2 linked regions of the Oryctolagus cuniculus genome follow. The main gene of each other region encodes a partner of the protein of the gene in region 2 in a complex. Links are inferred from orthologs where the notes say so. Each region holds a gene or a part of one and is shown on either strand. Other genes may lie near its edges. The genes, in order: PDCD10 and STRN3.

What was found.
Region 1: STRN3 (region 2) and PDCD10 share a complex: the UniProt entries of both Homo sapiens proteins name them as parts of the core of STRIPAK complex. The link is inferred for Oryctolagus cuniculus from reciprocal best matches to the Homo sapiens genes STRN3 and PDCD10.

The regions. Positions count from the first base shown.
Region 1 is NC_091435.1:112,788,088-112,792,471, reverse strand, and holds the start of PDCD10 (programmed cell death protein 10), read right to left. Parts: upstream 2,835-4,384; 5' UTR 2,655-2,834; intron 2,444-2,654; exon of another isoform or gene 1,885-2,443; intron 1-1,884. UniProt on the Homo sapiens protein: Promotes cell proliferation. Modulates apoptotic pathways. Increases mitogen-activated protein kinase activity and STK26 activity. Important for cell migration, and for normal structure and assembly of the Golgi complex.
Region 2 is NC_091443.1:44,334,409-44,338,784, reverse strand, and holds the start of STRN3 (striatin-3), read right to left. Parts: upstream 2,878-4,376; 5' UTR 2,491-2,877; coding exon 2,209-2,490; intron 2,205-2,208; exon of another isoform or gene 2,162-2,204; intron 2,089-2,161; exon of another isoform or gene 1,857-2,088; intron 1,599-1,856; exon of another isoform or gene 1,442-1,598; intron 1-1,441. UniProt on the Homo sapiens protein: Calmodulin-binding scaffolding protein which is the center of the striatin-interacting phosphatase and kinase (STRIPAK) complexes.

The sequences.
Region 1 (4,384 bases), on a different chromosome or scaffold from region 2:
ACTCTCTTAATTATCCAATATGCAAATGATCACTGTACTCAAGCATGTGGCCGGAAGATGATAAATGTAAGAGAAACATTCCAATGACATTCCAGCAGAGGTGAAATATCAAAACTGAAATGAATCTCAGAGATAAAGAAAAATTCATGGTAAACTGAACCAAGAACAAAAACTGATATATGCTGAACAAGTAGATTATATTAACTTCACTTATTTCCAAAATTTCTCTAGTTCAAAAACTCTTTTCATAACCACACAGCTGCATGCCAAAAGTCAGAACTCATTTCACACCGTGCCCAACAAAAGCAAATATTTACACTGCCATCTAGAAAATGTATTAACATTCTTGCTTACCACCACTTACTAATGCATCTATGGTCTACTTAAACTACTTCACCTTTCTAATTTGACACAAAGCCAGTTAACTCCACACAATTTTCCACCTGTTTGGTTGACTCTTCCTTACAGGTGCACTATTTTGCTTATGGTGCTTATTATTCTCGATTTCACTTGATTCTATACTATCATACCTCTCCTTCCATTTTAAAGTTGTATCAATTTCCAGACCATCTTAACTTCCATAATATGGGAATATGATACATTTGATCCTAGAAAATACTGCTGCATTTAAAAATTACACACATTTAATATTAATATTTATAGTGTGTTCAAAATACAATGTATTTCAATGGTCAACTTAGATAACAATAAACCATGACAGATGATTGCCAACTGCAAATAGATTATTTATGAATATAAACTTAATGTGAAAAAATCCTGACATCAATGAACATATTCCCACATTTCTATTAAAAAAAAAAAACTATTCAGTATTAATACTGAGGAGCTGTCCTGGGTCGTAACAATTACAGGAGATAAGACTGGGAGAGGTGCATTAGTTTCTACTCCATATGAAATGTGTCCTGCTTTTCCATTCTTTAATACAAACTAAGAATGAATTAAAAGTCACAGATAGGGGCTGGCACTGTAGCGCTGCAGATTAAAGCCCTGGCCTGAAGCGCCAGCAGCCCATACGGGTGCCAGTTCTGGTTCCAGCTGCTCCACTTCTAATCCAGCTCTCTGCTATGGCCTGGGATAGCAGTAGAAGATGGCCCAAGTCCTTGGGCCCCTACACCCACGTGGGAGACCTGAAGGAAGCTCCTGGCTTCAGATCAGCACAGCTCCAGCGGTTGTGGCCATCTGGGGAGTGAACTGTTGGATGGAAGACCTCTCTCTCTGTCTCTACCTCTCTGTGTAATTCTTTCAAATAAATAAAAATAAATCTTTAAAAAAATTTAAAAAGTCACAGATGATGCTGAGAAAATTAAAATATGTAAGAGCCTCATTCTTTTATTTACACACACACACAGAATCAAAGAGGGGAGAAGCAAATGAATCACAAAAATATGTTACCTCCAAGAAATGCAATGTTATCTTCTTTTCTAGTAATGAGCACACTAAACTCTCCTTAATGTTGCATTATTTGAAACAAAAAAAAAGTGCACAGTAAGTTTTGTTAAAGAATTCCATCCCCACTGTTCTCAGTTTTACAACATGAGAGTGGAAAAACCACCTAAGGCAGGAAGGGAAAGGAATATATCCTTTTCACAGTAAGGATGGAATACACTGTTTAAATGACTTTCTCCTATTTCACTATCTACTTTTAAAAATGGACTGTGGGAGAAGTCGATCGTTAATATAGCCCCAATAAAGGACAAAATACGTAACTGATACTGATCCTTTTTATTTTTCAAAAAGGTCAGAGAAAGTGCTTCAGTGAGGAATTTCACCCCAGTTTAGAAAAAAAAAAAAGAGAGAGAGAGAGAGAGGGAAAAAAAAGTCACCCTTCAATCACTCATAGCTTCTTAGAAATCCATAAAATACCATTACTGTGTCACTTCCTCCACCTTCCTCAAGAAACACGGCCCGTCTCCGCACTTTGTGACTCCGCCGGCATCTCTGTCCTGTTCAGGACCAAGTCCCTGCCTGTGTGACCTTGGGCACGTCATTTACTCCCTCAATTTCTTCAACAGCATCCTGACGGGAAAGCTCTTCGAAAGCAGTTCCAGCCGTAAACAAACCTATCTTGGGTATCACACCCTCAACAGGGTCGAGCGGTTCTGCTCAGGGACCCCATCTCAAAACACTCAGAATCCGCCGATCTGTCAACATCTGACTCTTCCTACTCCGTTCTCCTTTTCCTTCAAAGGGCATAACCCCAGTCACCCCGGAGCGAAGACTTCCAAGCAACCCCTCCTTCCCCAGCCACACTTACGAAGCAAGGGGGAAACAGCAGCCTTACCTCTCCCGCCCCAAGCCACACCTTCGGAGGACCCCACCCCAGGCACATCCGCCCTCTCTCCTCTCGGGGGGAACCAGAGGCCAACCTCGCCCTTCCCCTCCGCCCCCACCTAGAGCACACTTCCTGGAGGCGTCCAGGCCCGAGCGGGGCGGGCAGGCGGCATTTACAAACCCGCTTTACGCCACTCGCGTAGGGTAACCTCGCTTACGCCCATAGGGCCCCGCTCCCAGCCCCGTCCGCTCCGCCAGCCAGTACCAAGCCCGAGTGCCTCAGCCCCGGCCCCTGTGTGACCCCAGACCTCTTCCACCGCGCGCGGAGACACGGGGATAGGGGCAGAACACCCGCACCTTACCGGCAACTGAGGCACTGACTTCACTTCCCACCTTTGGAGCCCTCTTCAACTCCCGGATCAATTCACTCCGGCGACGCCGGAAGGACCCGAGAGGAACCAGGCGTTGTCCGGAATCCTGCCCAGCCGGAGAGGCGCAGTGGCCTATGGGGACTCGTAGTCTCGCTCGCCGGCGTCGTCTGCAATTCCTGCGCTCCTAGGACTACACTTCCCGGCAGGCCATACGGCAGAGCCTAAGGCGATGGGTGGGGACACTCGTAGCCAATAGTAGGAGAGTTCCCGGCCTTTGCGGGAGGAGGTGAGAGGGAGAGAGAGGGTGCAAGGCTAGGGGAGGAAGGGCGGGGCCGGCTCTCACCTGCGCCAATCAGGGTGCAGGGTCGGCCCCGTAGGCGCCTCACCCAAGGAGGGGGCGGGCTGCCGGAGGAGAAGACGGAAGCGGGTGGGGGGGCCCGAGGTAGGGAACGTGGGGCCGGTGGAATGGGTCTGCAGCGCGGGCAGAGAGGGAGCCTGGAGTGCAGGGAGTGCGGGGACGCTCCGCGGCCGGGATAAGCAGCTCCGCCAAGCCCCAGACCCGCAGGTTGGGGAGCGATGGGCTGAGCCTGGGCTACCTGCGGAGGCGCCAGGGCGCGGCAAGGGAACAAGTCCAGGTGTGAGAGCGGGGAGAGGGTGGGAGGAAAGGGGGACCCCCGGTACGAGGGAAGCGGCTGGAGCAGCTTCCAAAGTGCAGGGAGCGGGCAGGGACCCGGGCGGCAGCAGCAGGAACAGCAGGGGGAGGAGCAACAGCTGCCCAGTTCGCCAACTGGAGGAGGGAGAGGCGGAGCTTGGGTCCCGGTGGAAGCCGAAGGCGCAGCCTGGACCGTAGTTTCCCGGGAGAGACCCGAGCAGGAGCGGGAGCTGAGCGGAGTGCAGTCCCTTCGAGCCTCAGCTCCAGCCGTCCGCCGAGGGTGGCAGGTGTGCGGGAGGTAAGCGTGGGCGCGTTTTCCGGGGCGTCCGCACACTGCCCGGGAGGAAGCGTCTTTGCACAGCAGTTGCAGCAGGGCACAGCTCAGACCGTCTGCCTTCGGCTGGAAAAACCGGGGCAAACCCTTTCGGGTGAAAGATGCACATTTTTGGACTTTGAGGAGGAAAAAAAAAAAAAAAAGAAAGAAAGGTCGCTTGACCCTGGGTATAAAGGGTGTGGTTGGTGTTTTTGGTTTGAGTTGCACGATTCAAACTGTTGTGGGAGGTCTCAAGATTGAGGGAACCCCTACTGATTGAGGACCGGGTGGACGGTATTCTGGATCGGTACGTAGCTGATGAAAAGCAAACGTCTCGTCGTTGATACAGAATTACTTCCGAACTGTATCCCTAGAAAATAACTTTGCGTTCTTCTTCAGCGTCTGCGGGTACGTTGGATGCTGAGATTGTCCGCTGCGGACCTGTTATCCAAGGTGGTTGTAATGCAGGTCCGTAGAATTCCGAGATCTGTATTAAGCTAATGCAGTCAGGAACAGCGGGATAGGATGGGTGCTCCCTGAACCTGTGGGAAGTATAACTTTTGCCAGTAATAGTGTAAAAATGTGTTTTAGTGGATGGGCACTTAGCTTTCCTTCCAGCGACTCTGGAATATTGGAACAAAGACCTGGACTCAGCCTACAGTGGGAACATATGGTGTACATCATTGCTGCTCCTTATTCGCTCATTTGTGTCCAGTGATATGTGTACATTTCAGAAAACAAGAGGACAAGGAAAGC
Region 2 (4,376 bases):
AATTTCAAGCCAGGGAGCAAAAGCAATCTTCCTTAAAGGACTTTTCTGTTGCTGCTAAGGAGAAGAGAACTGGAAGGAAAAACAAGAGCTAGGGCAGGCAATATAGACTTCATACCAGTAAAACTTTTCCTCAGCTACGTAACATGAAGGAAGCTTATGAGTAACAAGTACAACTGTTAACTTGCAAAGTGTTAAAATCAAAGCTTGTGTACAACAAAGGTCAAAAAATCATCATGGACCAGTGGCATATAATTTAGTTGAGTCCAAGCCTCAGTGCGATTTTTTAAGATAATTGTTTTTACTAGCTTCACTCTACTTACACAGAAAATTAAGTTCCCAGCACAGTGTAGCTATACACCAACAGAACTCTACAAATCTCAGTATTTTAGAGAAGGCTGCACCCAAGTTAAAAGAAATCACAGACCTCAGCTTTTTGAAAGTTGTATTTTTAAAGCCCTATAGTATAGCACAGCACAGTTCTAAAACACAACAGGTGTAAACTTGTAAATTTTTTGAAACTTGATAAAGTATCAAAATATGTAAATATTTTAACTTTTTAAAGACGTTTAACTTCACCCACTTAGTGGAATCATTGGTTCACTAGTTCAAAAATCAAACTGAAGAGATTCACATTTGTTTGAGGACACCCTTTCTATGTAATCCAATCTTCCTTCAACACTGTTTTCCTAACTATATGCACCATAGGCATATATGACGAGGCACAACACCGCTTGCATCCTAAATATATTAACAGCCTGAAGAACAGGTGCAACACTATTTAGATACATGTTTTTCCTCTAGACCTAAATCTGCCCTAGAAAGGGGCTTAAACACAACTATTCAAAAAAGTTAAGCCGGCGCCGTGGCTCAATAGGCTAATCCTCCACCTTGCGGCGCCGGCACACCGGGTTCTAGTCCCGGTTGGGGCGCCGGATTCTGTCCCGGTTGCCCCTCTTCCAGGCCAGCTCTCTGCTATGGCCAGGGAGTGCAGTGGAGGATGGCCCAGGTGCTTGGGCCCTGCACCCCATGGGAGACCAGGAAAAGCACCTGGCTCCTGGCTCCTGCCAGGATCAGCGCGGTGCGCCGGCTGCAGCGGCGGCCATTGGAGGGTGAACCAGCGGCAAAGGAAGACCTTTCTCTCTCTGTCTCTCTCACTGTCCACTCTGCCTGTCAAAAAAAAAAAAAAAAAAAAAAAAAAAAAAAAGTTAAATAACCCTTTCAAAAACGTGCAACAATTTTGAAAGGCAAGACAGGAGCCCCCAGCTACCAGTATCTTCCAAAAGCTAGATAACGCGGACTATCCAAGGGTCACAGTAAGAGGAAGGATCCTCAGGACATTTAAGCCGGCTTCTCCTGCATGAGTCAGTAATGTCAGAGAAGTACGCTTTACTTCAAGTAAAAATGTTCAGTCTTCTCAGCCGTTTCCGAAATCCAGCAGCTTAGTTTGGTTTGGCTTTCTAGCGGTCATCTCGGGGCTGAGAGGGGGAGGTCTAGCGAAAGGTACTCTGAAAAGTCAAGTCCGGTGTTCAAAGCGTTGATGAGTCACTAAGTAAGGAAGAACTACAGAGAAGCCAAGGGAGAGTAAAGCAGCATCCCAGGTAAGAAAGTACTGAGGAGTAGACGGTGGGAAACGGAAACTTCACAGGTCAGCCGCCAGCCACTGTGCTTGGCGGCAGTCCGAGGAAGAAGCGTGCCTGTCAAGGGGCAAGTGCCCACCAAGTCGCGGGAAGGGGCCACCCAAGTCAAATGGGAAGGGGTGGGGGTGTCCGGAAAAAGGTGGGAAGATGCTCACCCCGGCCCTCTCCTCGGGGTCGCAACCTCAAGAGGAACAAACAAGAGCAAACTCGGGGTCCAGAGGCCCCACGCCGGACTCTCCGGCACAGAGGAGATCGGCCTCAAGTCCCGGAGGCCCGGGCAGGCCGCCTCCGGAGGAGCCCCCGCAGACGCCATACTAAAAGCCAAAATGGCTGCCCCGAGCGAGCCCGTACCGCGTAGCTAAGTGAGGGTTGGGGAACGGGCTTCTGCGGGAAAGGGGGAGGGGGACCTAGGAAGAGCCGACGCCAGGACCAGCACCCCCGAGCCGCACAGGTAGGTGCCTCCCGGCCTCCCAAGTCGCGGGCGCCGGCGGAGGAGAGCCCCGGCCCCACCCCCCGGCCGGGATCCCCGCCGCCGCCGCCGCCGTCCCGCACACCGACCCCAGCGAGGTACCTGCAGTTCGGCCCGCTCCACCTCCCAGTGCGCTCGCTCCATCTCGAACCGAGCCCACTCGTGCTGGATGTAGTGCAGGATCCCCGGGATAGTGTACTGCTGCGGCCGGGACAGCTCGGGGCCTGCCGCGGGACCCGCTCCCTCCGAGGCCGTTGGACCCCCGCCGCCCGCCGCTCCATTCCCTCCCGGCGAGAGGCTCAGGTTCCCCCCAGGTCCCTGCTGCTGCCGGGGAGGGGCCGCCATCCCCGGGCCTCCACCACCGCCTCCGGCAAGCTCGTCCATTGTGTGAGGGGCCCCGGCCGGGGCACAGGGCGAGACGCCGACTGCCGGGGGAAGGGCCGGAGAGGGTGGCACCGCGCTGGCGGCGGGGCGGAGGCCGCCGGGAGAGGGGCGGGGAGGGGGTCGTTGCTGTGTGCCTGCCGTGGGTCAGAGCAGGGAGCTGCCGGCCGCCGCCATTACAGTCCCTCCTCCATCTGCCGGTCTCACTCACTCACTTTAGGGGAAGGGGGGGCCGCGGCGGGCGGGGGGAAAGGAGGCAGGGTTGGAAAAGGGATCGACGTAGGATCGCCGCTCCCGCACGGCATGCCGGGTATAGAACGCCGCTGCCGCCGCACGCTTAATGGCCAAATAGAGTGCGGCCTCACCCTACGCAGGCGCACTGAGGACGCCGTCCGGCCGCGGAGAGGCGGCTGTTAGGGGGCGGGGAAGGAGCGCGGCTCCTCCCCCAGGCCCGCCCTCAGACCCGTGCCGAGTGTCCCGACGCGGGTTACCGCAAAGCTGGGGCTCCAGCTCCCACTTTTGGGAGCCAGTTGGGCCTTGAACGAGAGACTGTCAGTTTCCTGTTCGTAGACCGAGCCCGGGAGCCGTTACCCAGCCCGAGGGTCTCAGCCATGTGCCTGCCTTCGGAGCTGGGTTTGAACTTGGTTGATCGCTCTGGCCGGTTGCTGCCCACCCTGAATTCCTGACGTTTCTGTTGCATTCTTTGCGTGTTTCAGGCGGTCCCACAGGGTTGGGGCTCTTTCTCTGCCTGTCACTCGCTCTGTCTCCGGTTTCTGAGCGCCAGTCAGTTCCCGGGATTGGGGGACGTTCTCTTTCTGGCAGATCGCCCGGATCTTCGCGGCCGTGGTGACTGGCTGCCCGAGTCGGTCCCGCTTCTGGGCGCCGGGTCGCCTGCCGACCTGTTACACTTTGCCTCCCATCCTGGGACGGGCGTGTTTCAGCGGGTGGGGAGGGGAGCTGGAAACGGTCGTTTTCTTTCTTTTTTTCCCCCCTTGGGAGAAGAGGAGGTAGTGAGATCCTTTGGATTTTGACGATGGTGACTAGAAAGGAAAAGATAACTTTGAAGGAGATGGGTTACGTTTTAGAACTGAATGAGCTCGCAAGAACTTTCATTAATGATAGAATCTTTTGATCTAAATAGAAGATAAAAGCAGCATGAATATAGTTTAAAATCCTGGGTGGACGGCTAAAGATGTTTTCCTGGGTCATTAAATGTTTGAATGAATATAATATACACATAAAAGGTAAGTGTGTATAAGGACAGTCGTGTAATTTTTACGTGCTTAGTTTCCCAGGAAATATCCTAACGAACTAGTAACTTTCCAATCGTTAATACAGCTAGTGATCGTTTGTTGAAAAAAGGACAAAGATACTCTAACAGCATATAAAGAAAAGAGGGTCAGTAATTACAGTCATACAGGGAAACTGGGTGTACAATTAGTTGCATCTCTAAAATGTTTTTTCTTGTAAAAAACTAACAAAAGTTTCACTATGGGATGCACCATTTGGCTTGCGATTTCAAAGAGATAAAGTGGTAGATCATTTGCCTTGTTACTATAGTTTAATGGAAAACAGCTTAGACGTAACTACCCATGCTGCCATATTTTATATATGCATAAAGTGAGATCTTAGATTGTAGTAATATTAAGAACTATTTGTCCATATTATTAAATACAATTGTTTTCATTTTAAAGTGACGGGATAGAACCTCTTTATTCAGTCCTATTCCTTGGGGGAGATGTGGCTCCTATCACAGAAAGTTCAGGAGTACCACCATGCTGCATGGAGTACCCCTGCCTTGCTGAGCCTCTCTTAGCAACTGTGTACCCTGTGATAGTATGACTGACTAGGAGCTACTTGTATTGTATCATGTACATCACTGGCCTGGA